2 linked regions of the Daphnia pulex genome follow. The protein of the gene in region 1 interacts with the protein of each later gene in a pairwise test. Links are inferred from orthologs where the notes say so. Each region holds a gene or a part of one and is shown on either strand. Other genes may lie near its edges.

What was found. The genes of interacting proteins can lie anywhere in the genome.
Region 2: the proteins of DNA repair and recombination protein RAD54-like (region 1) and DNA repair protein RAD51 homolog A-like interact in a two-hybrid assay, tested with the Caenorhabditis elegans proteins (3 studies listed by BioGRID). The link is inferred for Daphnia pulex from reciprocal best matches to the Caenorhabditis elegans genes rad-54.L and rad-51.

The regions. Positions count from the first base shown.
Region 1 is NC_060022.1:2,885,989-2,891,814, reverse strand, and holds DNA repair and recombination protein RAD54-like, read right to left. Parts: upstream 4,075-5,826; 5' UTR 3,950-4,074; coding exon 3,947-3,949; intron 3,880-3,946; coding exon 3,664-3,879; intron 3,595-3,663; coding exon 3,395-3,594; intron 3,329-3,394; coding exon 3,259-3,328; intron 3,203-3,258; coding exon 3,008-3,202; intron 2,931-3,007; coding exon 2,712-2,930; intron 2,634-2,711; coding exon 2,472-2,633; intron 2,405-2,471; coding exon 2,143-2,404; intron 2,072-2,142; coding exon 1,909-2,071; intron 1,841-1,908; coding exon 1,642-1,840; intron 1,560-1,641; coding exon 1,462-1,559; intron 1,385-1,461; coding exon 1,276-1,384; intron 1,182-1,275; coding exon 1,018-1,181; intron 955-1,017; coding exon 756-954; 3' UTR 425-755; downstream 1-424.
Region 2 is NC_060026.1:14,856,746-14,862,753, reverse strand, and holds DNA repair protein RAD51 homolog A-like, read right to left. Parts: upstream 3,439-6,008; 5' UTR 2,923-3,438; coding exon 2,830-2,922; intron 2,731-2,829; coding exon 2,593-2,730; intron 2,527-2,592; coding exon 2,317-2,526; intron 2,250-2,316; coding exon 1,999-2,249; intron 1,929-1,998; coding exon 1,841-1,928; intron 1,764-1,840; coding exon 1,642-1,763; intron 1,577-1,641; coding exon 1,453-1,576; 3' UTR 1,141-1,452; downstream 1-1,140. Other genes in the region: uncharacterized protein LOC124204007, read right to left, coding at 1-141; protein maelstrom homolog, read left to right, coding at 3,512-3,652, 3,730-3,931, 3,990-4,136, 4,201-4,340, 4,407-4,676, 4,745-4,936, 5,010-5,097, 5,174-5,343.

The DNA.
Region 1 (5,826 bases):
AGCAAATTATTTCGTTTTTGCCCTGAAAGTTTTTTTTTCTTTCGCTAATTAAATCCATGCCGTTTGTTTTGTTGTATTTTTCCTCCGCAATTTCTTTTTCGTTTATTTTTTCTTTAATAGGATTTTTTCCTGTGAAACATAAAGGAAAATTCCCCAGTTGATTGTTCGTTTGTTTGTTTTATCCCGGCGGGAGCAAAACATAAAGAAAACAAAAATGATTTCTTGGAGCATTTTGTCTCCTCGATGATTTATTTTCGCCCTCCCCTCTTTCCACCTATTGTTTTTCTTGATTCATCCCCCCATTTAATGTGTCAGTGATGTCTCCCCACCTCGTACCACGTTTTAATTATTTACATCGTCTCCTTCCCCCCGTTATTTTTTCCGTCTGTCGTCGTCGTCGTTTAATTGATAAAAATTTCTTGAAAAAAGGTCATCCAGTTTGTATTACAAAAAATTGTTGTAAAAGTTTCGTGGCTTTTCTGCAAAAGTGGTGAAAATTCCTTATTTCCTCTTTCATAAGAAAAAACTGCAGCATTACAAGGAAATGTCCAAATCAATCTAACGAACCTTTTTTACAATCTGGTTTTCTTTTATAACAATTTCGTATTCAAGGGGGGAAAATGCAAAGTACATTTACAGTGTTTTGCACAACAGAACTCGTGTAAGTTAAAAAAACATAAAACTGAAAAATCACAGAGCATTTGCAACTAACTTCTTTCGTCTGCGGAAGATTTTCTCTTTGTTGTTTGAAAGATTCAAGGAACAATTTTAGGCTCGTGGGATTTTTGATGGAAGGCGAACGTGACTCCAGCGTCCCAAGCAGACTTGAGAACAGGATCCGGAATGGTTTTGCGATCCGCACAGTGATTCCATTGAGACAAATCCGAATTGCAAGTCGCGTCATCCGGTGGCGGTTTGACTTGGATCCGATTGACGCAGCGACGGCATTTGAATCTGTTAAAAAAAAAAGATATTTTTGAATGAATGTCTGATTCCAAATTTTGGTATGATGCCAACTTGTCGTGAGTATCGCTCGAGGTTAGTTCTTCCAATTTAAACAAATCTCGTAAATCCGACAGACTGAAATGGCGTTCCACGTCGTCTTCGTTGTCTACTACGCAGGAGCTGAGTGCTTTTTTGTGGGCTTGACGCTGGAAAATTTTTTCTTCAATGGTTCCAGTCTGTCGTTTCATTAAATCGACCGAGTTATTTTTGTTATTATTTGCTTTAGAACCGTCCAATTTGCGACTGTTTTTTCTGGGTAGAAATACTTACGGACAACAGGCGATAAATAAAACAGGGTTTCTTTTGTCCGTCTCTCCAAACACGAGCCATAGCTTGATCGTCGTTGGCGGGATTCCAGTCCGGATCAAACATCACCAACCTTGTGCGAAAGTAATTCAACATTTTTTTTTGTGAATAATCTTACATTCTAAATTGAATGCATTAACCAATTAGTACCGGTTGGCTCCAATTAAGTTCAATCCGCAGCCACCGGCTTTGCTGCTGAGCAAAAAGACAAAATCTGAACTGGCTGGGTCGTTGAAATGTTCCACAATCTGAAATGCAAAATAGGTACTTAACAGTCCTTCCTGACCCGACTTCATTAAGAACTAAGACTGGTTTGATTTGTCTGTGTACCTTGGCTCTCTTCTTGATGCTCATGCTGCCGTCCAGGCGTACGCACGGGTAAGACCTCATTCGGCAAAGTTTCTCGAATAAATCTAGAGTTTGAGTGTAGTTGGAAATCAAGACGATCTTGTCGTTGGTAGTGCTTTTCACCATAGCCAGAATACAGTCGAGGACGCAGAGCTTGCCGGACAATTCGGTTTGCAGTTTTCTATCGATCAAATCAGCAGCGAGGTTATAGATTTTTCTACTGTCGCAAACGAATGGTGTGGGACTAACCGGGGATCGAAGGTGGCAGGAAATAACGGCAGAGTGCCTTCGAATCCGTCAACGCCCGATTGGCACTTTTCGTAAACCAATTCCGGGTGACTGCATAGTTTCTTTAAATTGGTGATGGCTGCCAGTGCAGTCATGCTCGATTTGCTCGGTTTCTCATTGGCTTCTATTTAAGTTTAAGCAGGACAGCAACAAAATATTTAATCAATCATGTACTTTAATTTATATAATATTTACCCCTCATTTTGCTCTTGACAGCTTCGGATGCTACGACCTTCTTGTAAATGGACGCCTGAACAGGACTGAGCTTAATACAAACAACCAATTCAATTTTGACTGGAAGATATTTGGTCAGCAAAGCGGATGTGCGCCGAATGATGCATTTATTGACTAGATCGGCCAATTCTTTCAATTGTGTCTGACCCTTCTTCTGAGTTTCTTCCGTCGCATCAGCGTCTCTACCTCGAAGGATGGGCGTCTCGAACCGTTTCTTAAACTCCTGCAAAAAGAAAATGTGTTTGTTGTCATTATTATTAGTTAAGGATCTCATTTTTATCTTGAATCACCTGAGCAGTGCCAAGAATGCCTTGGTTAACGAAATGTAACAAACTAAAGTACTCCAGCAAATCGTTCTGAATGGGCGTTCCGGAAAGAAGGACACGTCGTTTGCAATTCAATGCAACCAAAGCTTGATATGTCTGATTTTCACTGTTTTTCAGACGATGTCCCTAACGAGACGAACAAACGGTTGTTAGTTGAATAAGAGACTCGCGCCAGATAATGATCTTAATTATGAGTAAGTGTACTTCATCACAAAGAACAAGTCCTATTTCTCCCTTGAGAAGGGCGTGGGCGTGAAGTCTAAATGTCTCGTAGGAGATGATCAGAACAGGAGTGACGACTCGCCTTCCGTGTGTGTGTATGAATCCATTCAAGTTGCGATCAATTTCGTCTTTACTTCCAGAGTCTATCACCAACGTATTGACTCGTCCACTTAGCCACTTGTTGATTTCATTCTGCCAATTCTTTTGGTTGTAAAAAAAAATACAGCAGTTAATAAATTTCAAAGTGAATTATTAAAGTGATCATTGAATCAATGCACCTTGACCAAACTACTAGGTGAGACAATGATCCCTTTTGAAATTAAGGGCTTGCAGTCTGGGCCTTGTTTGAGTAGTGTCCAAAGCAGGGTAATGCACTGCAAAGTTTTCCCCAATCCCATTTCATCAGCCATAATGCAACCATAATTGTTTTCAATGCATAGACCAGTGACACAGTCATACATGAACTTCACTCCCTAGCAATAGAAAATTAATAGAAGACCAGAATTACAGCAGCATAAGTGGAACTTACTTCACGTTGATGAGGTCTAAGTACTTTGGTCAATACTGGATCAACAACAACATGAACAGGATGTTTATCACTAACAAAAAATTTAAAGATGTGAAAATTTAATCCCCCAGTCTTTTCAAACTATTTAATATTGTACCTTATGGATGATTTCAGCTTGTCATGAGCAGACAGTTCTGGAGGGGAATATAAAATCAAAGCACCAGGTTCATCTGGGTCATGTAAAGCTTGTCGTACTCCAGCTCGTCTCATTCCAAGTGATTTGCTAAGGGTTGGCCCATTGTAGTTTGGTATTGGTATTTTGAATGGCTTTGACATAATCTTTTTGATAAGTTCTTCCTGTTAAATAGTTAATAGCTATAATTTTGAGGCAATAGAGTTAAGTAACTATTATAGTTAATGTTTTACATGGAATGACGATCCAGCCATTTCCGAATTGGTTTCAACTGGAAGACTACATTGAGCAAGTGGTTTACGAAATGGAGAAAGAAACTCTGAAGCTCTGTCTATTATTTGTGTCTTCTTATTCTTGCCTCCTTTCTTCTTTTCTGACCAAGCTGGGTCATCATCTTCATCGTATTTTCGTTTAACTTGAACCAACTGACTTGGGGCCAAACTCCGTCTCTATCATTGTAAAATTGAGTAAAAATATAACAAAAATGTTAAAATTCAAGAAGAATTCATCACAAACCATTTTATTAATCCCTTCACTTTGTTCTCTTTCTCGTGTTGAATCGCGCCTTAAAAATACAAACACAAAGGTGAATGCATCGTGCTTATGCAGTTACTCTAATAATGATTACTCGAAAGGGTTTCTTTTGCTTGTGACGTTGTCGAATGTCTCACTAGATGGGCTTTCAAGCGAAAATATTTAAGCTGTCCGCATTGGCGCATTCTGTCAGTAGTCTTTGCAGAGGATGGTCGAAAAAAGTTCAACCCGTTCAACGGCGAGGCGAGGCGAGGCGACTCGTTATTAGTTTCCAGAAAATCGTGTCGTCATTAACTTGTTAGTGTTATTATGTGAGATAACCAAGTACTTAACCACAGTACCAGATATAATAGAAACTATTGTTAATTCAGTTTTGTTTCTTATTAATCAGAGAACAGAAGGATGAACAAAGCTTACAGACCAAAATCTAAAATTGGAAATTAATGATGCACTGCAATTTCAGGTGATTTCCGGTTCCGATTTGTGTAAGAGGATTTCTTTTGATTGTCCACTTCACGAATTGAATTGACTGAAACATCATCCAAGCTCAATTTAGATTTTGGAGGCGATAGCAAATTAAGAATTCACCAGGTGGGAAAATGGTAACACATGTTATTTATTTTCCTAATTAAAATAGAGAATCTTTTGCTGGTTGTTATTCCATTCGAGTAAAACTTTATTTTTTTCCATCTTCCAACAGGTTCATTCAAAGTTAACAGCAAACACACATTTGATTTGTTTTTAAAAAGGAAGTCCATGCTGTCCTATAAAATATTCTACCTCAGTTTCCTCAAGTCCTTAAGGTATCACAACTCCCCTATTCAATTCCCCCTAGATTAACTGTGTTTAAATATTTTCTTAGCTTTTGCATTATGTTTGGTTGTTTATTTGTGCTTGTTTTTATTACATCAAATTGTTTTTCTTTCGAAGGCTCATAACAGCCATAACAGGTAATATTTCGCGCTGTTTGGTGTTTCAAACGTGGGACCATCAATCAACCTAAGAACAAAGCCCCTGGTTTTTCCTCAAGAAGCTGGTAGATATTAAACATTTTACTTAGATCTGTTTTATCCAATAACCGTTTGATTTATTCGACAGGTTTTAACCAATTCGAAAAGGTACTTTGCAATAAATAATAAACCGGATTTCAAGCCATATATACACCGTTTCTGCAGCTTGCACCTGATCTGGCAGGCCGTCGGAACTCTATTAAGTTTATCTGAGAACCATCGGTACTTTGCCTAGACAGCGTCCTGGAGAAACTACTACTCCACTGCACCGCCTTCGAAGAAATTATGTGGTGTGTACATTCCCCTTTCGATAACTAAAGGATTCGAAGAACTCTCTTCATTTTCTAGGATACTTTCTGAGGTAGCGTTCGGTCTTTTTTTGTCTACATCTGCAATCTACATCTTCTCTCAGTGTCTAGAAAAAAAAATGGTGGAATTTCGATTCTATCAAAGACACTTACACCATCTAGTGGACATAGTTTTTAGCCAACGAGTGATCTAATGGCAATACATTTTATAGCTGGAAAAATGATGTCCAGTTCCAGTAAAAGAAAAGAAACCATGAAGATCCCACACATCACAGATCATTTAAATTTTAGTCAGACCACGTTAAAAAGGATTGGAAGCTGGTGTCGTCTGCATCTCCGAGGCCGTAGTACCGTAATCCGTGTTGAGCTTTTATCTTATAGGACGAGACTACGAGATCTTTAGCCTAACTAGTAACTACGGTACTGAGGAAAAATTGTAAGTGACGAAAAATAATAGGAAAAATTTCAAATGAGGAACAAGTCCTTTTCTGATTGTTATTCTTGCAACGGCTGATGCTTCGTAAGTTCTTAACGAAAGGAAATT
Region 2 (6,008 bases), on another chromosome or scaffold:
GATTTGCAGTTTCGCCCAAGAAGATGAACCGCCGGGGTTGTTTGTTTTGGGGTTTTTGTTTGATTGGCAGTTGCAGCAAATGACCGAAACAAATAAAATGGTGAAAATGTACCTTACAATCGATTTCGTAGCCATTTCCATCCAAGAATGAAAAAGAAACTTGAAAAGAATTAATTTATAGATGAGGCTGGGGAACAGGTTAAATTTCGTTGTATGGCACTTTGACGTACGTTTCAAACTGAGCGGGAATTCACGAATAACTGCGTATTCATACAGCAAAATTAGGCAGATTCATTGGAATGGGTTTTTCCAAATTTTCGACATTGCGTAAGCAAGTGTGTCGGGTTCCCGATTTCGAAGTCCAGCGTCGTGTAGACTTTGATAAATCAGAAATGTCATCCAATATTCCCGCCAAGGTTTTATAAACAGAACATACTCCGAGTATACAAACAGATGATTCTCGATTCTTTCAAACAAGATAATATACCAACACCAATAAAATATACAAATATAAAATGTATAAAATATTACATTCAGTAACTTTAGATTAATCTCAAGCGCTCACACATTTTAAATTTAAATCAATTTTGTACAGAACGTTCTTTGATCCGATACTCACCAACCGCCCAGCGCTGCATTTTCGATAGCAGTTTGATCTTGTCGCACAATTCGCCGGCCTATTTTTAAAAACAAACGGCCCACAGCATTCTCCACTCTTTTCCTCAGTCGGTTAGAGATGGCCAATTTAAAGTGGCAGTTTTATTTTATTCTATTTCTTTTAAATATTTTAAAATGATGGGAAAATCCAAACATAAATACATGTTCGAAAATGATACTCACGAGTCTTTGATACTGTGGTTTGATATGAATTTTATCTTCCGTCGCCACTCGCCAGCGTTGTAAACATTTCGTCAAAACTGCGCACGTCGCACTTGAATGTCATGTCGAGGTTACAAGTGAAAAGTCAGCAAGTCTTGCCATTGATTTTCTAAAACAGACTGACCCCAATATGCTAGTTTAAGAAACAGTCGAGTTTGAATATTATCTGCGCGTCTACTATAAAATTTAATTCGTTCAAATACGACCGATTGCCGTTTTAAATCTGTTACGGGCTAATTCCTACAAGAAATAAGTCCTAAATTGAGAAAAAAAAATATTTGTATTCAAATTCAAGCAGTAATTGCCACTGATAATCTCAGAACAATGTTGAACAGAATGCGAACAGGGTAGATTGCGTAAGATATTTTAAAGTTACAAGTAAACCATACAGTTACATGTACACTGACGTTTTTTTTCGATTTCCCACCTACTTATAAACACAAGACAAATTCATATTTCTGGGGCGATGGTGAATCGAAACTTTTTAAACAACTAAAAACGGAGAATTCATAAAAGGGTTTACAAGAAAGGGGGTAATAACCTGTAGCGGAGGACGGTCCCTTCTGTGGCAGTTTACTCTTTGCTGTCTCCAATGCCATCGGGCAAAATTGCGAACATGGCTTCAGACTCTGGCAAGCAGGGTGAGTCGTAGATTTTGCAAATTCGGGTTTCTCCACGACCTTTGCGCAAGTAAAGTCTACAGAAAGGAAAGTTGTTACTGTCAGGGCAAAGGGATGCAAATAACAACAAGTGAAAACTTACCGAGTAGTAGACGCGTGAGCCATGATGTTTCCACCGATGGGTTTCTTTGGGTCAGCGGCGAACATTGCAGCACCATCGACTTGAGCAACTACTTGATTGGTTATAACCACTGCCACGCCAAACTTTAAAAACACATAAAAAACCAAATGTGATTTAAGAAAATTTGAATGGTTATTTACGACGTCTAGTATACACGTACTTCATCTGCAAGTCGAAGGAGCATGCGCAAAAAACGAGCGAGATGCATTTGGCGAGCGGAAAGTTCTCCTCTTCCCGAGTAGTCGGTCCTAGGAAGATAAAAGAATGTTTGCATGCCATACATGTCTTTGAAGAAAGAAAGATCCTTTTGAGGATTACCTGTAAAGAGCTGTGGCGGAATCGACAATGAGAAGAGCGTAACGAGAATCGGCCATCATGGCAGAGGCTTGGATCAGAAGCTGTGACTGGTGATCAGTATTGAAAGCTCTGGCGCAAGCTACATTATCCAAAACATCTGAGCCAGATAAGCCATATCGTTCAGCTACAGCCAACAAACGCTCCGGACGAAAGGTTCCTTCAGTGTCGATGTACAAGCACTTTCCTTCAGCTCCTCCACTGTCAATGGGCAACTAAAAAGTTAAAATGGATAAAAACTTATTAGAATTTGAATTGGTGAACTTCTGAAATATCTATTACTTGACAGGTGACTGCAAGAGTTAGGCACAATTGAGTTTTTCCAGTACGAAACTCTCCAAATATTTCTGTGATACTCCCTGTTTCTATGCCACCCCCAAGCAATTTGTCAAGCTCTTTGGATCCTGTAGTAACCTGAACGAGCTCTGCACGCTTTTGATGATACTCTGTGGCAGTAGAAAAACCCATGGGAACCATTTTTTGAGCTTCGGCCTGAGAGTTGTGAGGATGGAAACATTAACAAGAGCTAATGGATAATTACATGAAATATTTTTTTACAATGATTTTATCAGCCTTGGCCTCGCTGACTCCTTTGATGGTCATGAGTGTCTTTTTAGGGACATAGGCTACTGATTCAACTGTGTGATACCCCGCTTCTTGCAGTTTCTTGATATCTGCACCACTAATTCCATTGCCCTGGAAGTATTGAAAATTGAAATGAATTGTTATGTGTTTACTAATTAAACAATGAGTTTGCATTTATAAATTGAGTGTCTGTTGTTTCAACATTCTTACTTCAAGTTTACTGATTGCTGAAAAAACAGTTTGTTCGAGAGCTTCGACGACATTTTCTTCTTCTTCATTAAGATTTCGAAGTGCAGTAGCCATCGTACTGATTAATAGCTTATGATAAGCTAATGATTAAAGAAATCACTGTTGCAAAGCAGAATATGTCAATGAAAAACAATTGTGTGATTCAGCTTCTCGACTCAATTAATCAGTTTCGGAAGAGTTTCAGTTTCAATCAGTCTCAGCTATCAAAACGAAGTGATCACATGTGAAACGTTCACACAACGAAACATTCGAGCGGCAAAAACAAATAGTGCCTGTATTTAAAAATCAACCTTGCCAGATTTGTTTCAAATGAGCGTGCTAATGGACAAAAAGTTTTCCCATTTTTGTAATATCTGGTAATATATGGAAGAGGAATATACTTGATTAAAATTTTAAAATAAAAAATTATTTTATGTTTTATTATTTAACATGATTTAGTTTTATAATCTTTAAATCTAATTGGTGATTGCGGGGTTAAAATAAAGCGCTTACGTCAGAATCCCAGAGCAGAATACCTGGTAGGTCAGGCGGGAAACCTGATGGGAGAGCATCTACTTTTTCGCGGCTGAACTCTTGACGACTCGACTTTCGACTAATATTCGACTAATTCCCACATTACATATTCGTTTTTTAAATAAGTGAAATGCCCCCGAAGAAGAAACAAAAAAAAGATAATGGTTTCATGGTATTCATGAAATCTATGAAACCACAATTAGAAGCCAAGGGACATAAGTTTCCTAGAGGCTTGACTGACGTTATTCCGGTGTGCTCTCCGTTATGGAATGTAAGGAATTTGTGTTGTTAATACGTCATTCTGTTAACATTAATATTAATGAAAGTGAAACTTAATTAAATTCACAGAAATTGTCACCTGAAGAAAAGGCAAGCTACCATAAAAAAGCTAAAGATGGTGGTGGTACTACTTTTATCAAAGAAGAAAGATGTGATACTCGGGGAGTTCCATTAAATTGGAAGGAAAAAGAAGAGCAAAAGAAAATATCGGAAAAAGACCATCTTCTGCAGAAAGTAGAAGATATGATTTCATACTTTGCTACTCAAGGAAGTACGCTTTCATCCGAAAATGCCTTTTTCCCGTCACATTCAATATTTACAATTTCTAGCTCTCGAGAATCACTACTTTTATCTGGCACATTTCAACATTGCTGTCGCTACCAGTGAGGGAGAGTACCCTCCATGTGAAATCGCTATAGTGAAGTTTTCGCTTCTGGATGGGATAGCTAAGTGTTACCATGACTTTGTAGAACCTGGTATTTTCATCTACCAAATTTACTTGGGTATCAAGCTTTACACCATTGTTTTATGAATTCACAGGTCAAATCCGACTGGGGTATGCCCACGAAGCCAAGCTACACTCTGAAAACACACACAATATCCCAACATTTGGATTCAAACTAGCCAATTCAGATTATGTTAACATTACGAATAACATCAAGGAAATGCTCAAACAACCAGTAAACTTCCCTTTAATTAAGGAGTTTAGTAAATAATTTTATTAACAAAAATTTACATAATCCTAGGATGGCGGGATTGCTCCTTTATTCGTGGTCGACGAAGACAACGCGAAAGCGATTTATATAGTGGACTGGTTAGTCAAAAAGAGTTGCCAACTGGACGATTCGTACGAGACGTGCAGCCCGTTCAAGATCTACAGTTTGAACAAACTCTTTTACGAGTTGCGTCGCCAGGCCGACGTGAACAATTCGACGTTGAAATTTTCCAGCATTGCGCTAGTGGCCGAACACTTTGGCAAAGGAATGTTTTTCTACAGCAAAAATATGGCCTGCCAGGTATAAATTTCCAATGGCTAATAATAATCCCTTTGACCTAAAATAATTTGAATTACGTCATTGCACAGTGGCATGTGGAAGAAGACAATGTAACGTTTTGTTCGCTAACGCGGGTGCGCAACTACGCCTACACGATTTCCGACTTGTGCTGCGAGTACTATGACTTGTCTCTGCTGCCTAATCGCCACTGCCCTTCTGAAATTGCTGATGACAACAAATATGTCGTAATGCCCAAAGTGACTGAAACGGAAGAACCGGAGGTAATTTCATCCCATGAAAATTTGCATGAGAGTTGAAAGGAAAGGCTAATGTGTGATCTTTCCGGCCCTTTAGGCACCGGTTGAAGTGAAGAAGAAGAAGGAGGAGGAGGAAGATGACAGAGAACCATCCGGTCCACCACGATTGCCCAACACTCCTGCCAGTAAATCAATTTTTAATTGTTGTTGCATCTATAAATGGCCATGTTCAGAGATATTTCCTTTACCCGTTCACTCTAGCTGCCAATTTCAAGGGTCCTGGAACAGGGCGTGGCGTTTTGGGCGGATCGATGGGCCCTGTTTCGTCCGCCACTCAATCGCCAGGTCGATCGCGAGCAATTGAAACGGCACCCCCAGCTGGAAGAGGTCGCGGCCGCGGACTTCTTTTACTTTCTGATGACTCGGATTGATTCTCCCTTTCCCTTTACCAAGTTTACATGGTAAATCTTATTCGCACGCGGTATATATATAGCCCAACTTGAACGCGTATTGATCCGCAGTGTCTCGATTCACCAATTCTTTGCCCACACACAGTTGCGGCGACGCGTAATTAGACGGCGTCGTGGAAACAACGTCATCTGGCGTTTGAATGCTTTTACATCAACAAGGCGACGACCGGGAAACTTTTGCCGCAAAAGCAGCCAGCGTCGTCGATAATTTTAAAAATACTCAAAACTCCCTCCTAAAACGCCCAGAGTGAGAGAGAGAGAGACGCAAACTGTTGCGGATCGATTCTTTTCATCCTTCTTATCCGGCCCTTCACTAGTCATTTAACATCTGAATAGCAGAGCTAAAACGTTCCATCTAGATTCCAGCCAACCTCCTCCTTTCTCCAAATTTTGTTTGCCCTTCAAGATAAATGTGGTAAATATAGCAGAAAGTATTTTTTAACTCGAATGATTCCTCTCGTGTACATGTTTTGGTCCTGGGAGTTGAGGGAAGTCCGGCTCTCGGCTATATCGTTGGTCTGTTTTGCACACGATAGTTCGAGAGCTTGGGGAACTCGTACAACTCCGTCTAGGGCATTTATTTATTTGTGTGAAAAGAAAACTCGATTTCAAACTAGCTGGCAAAG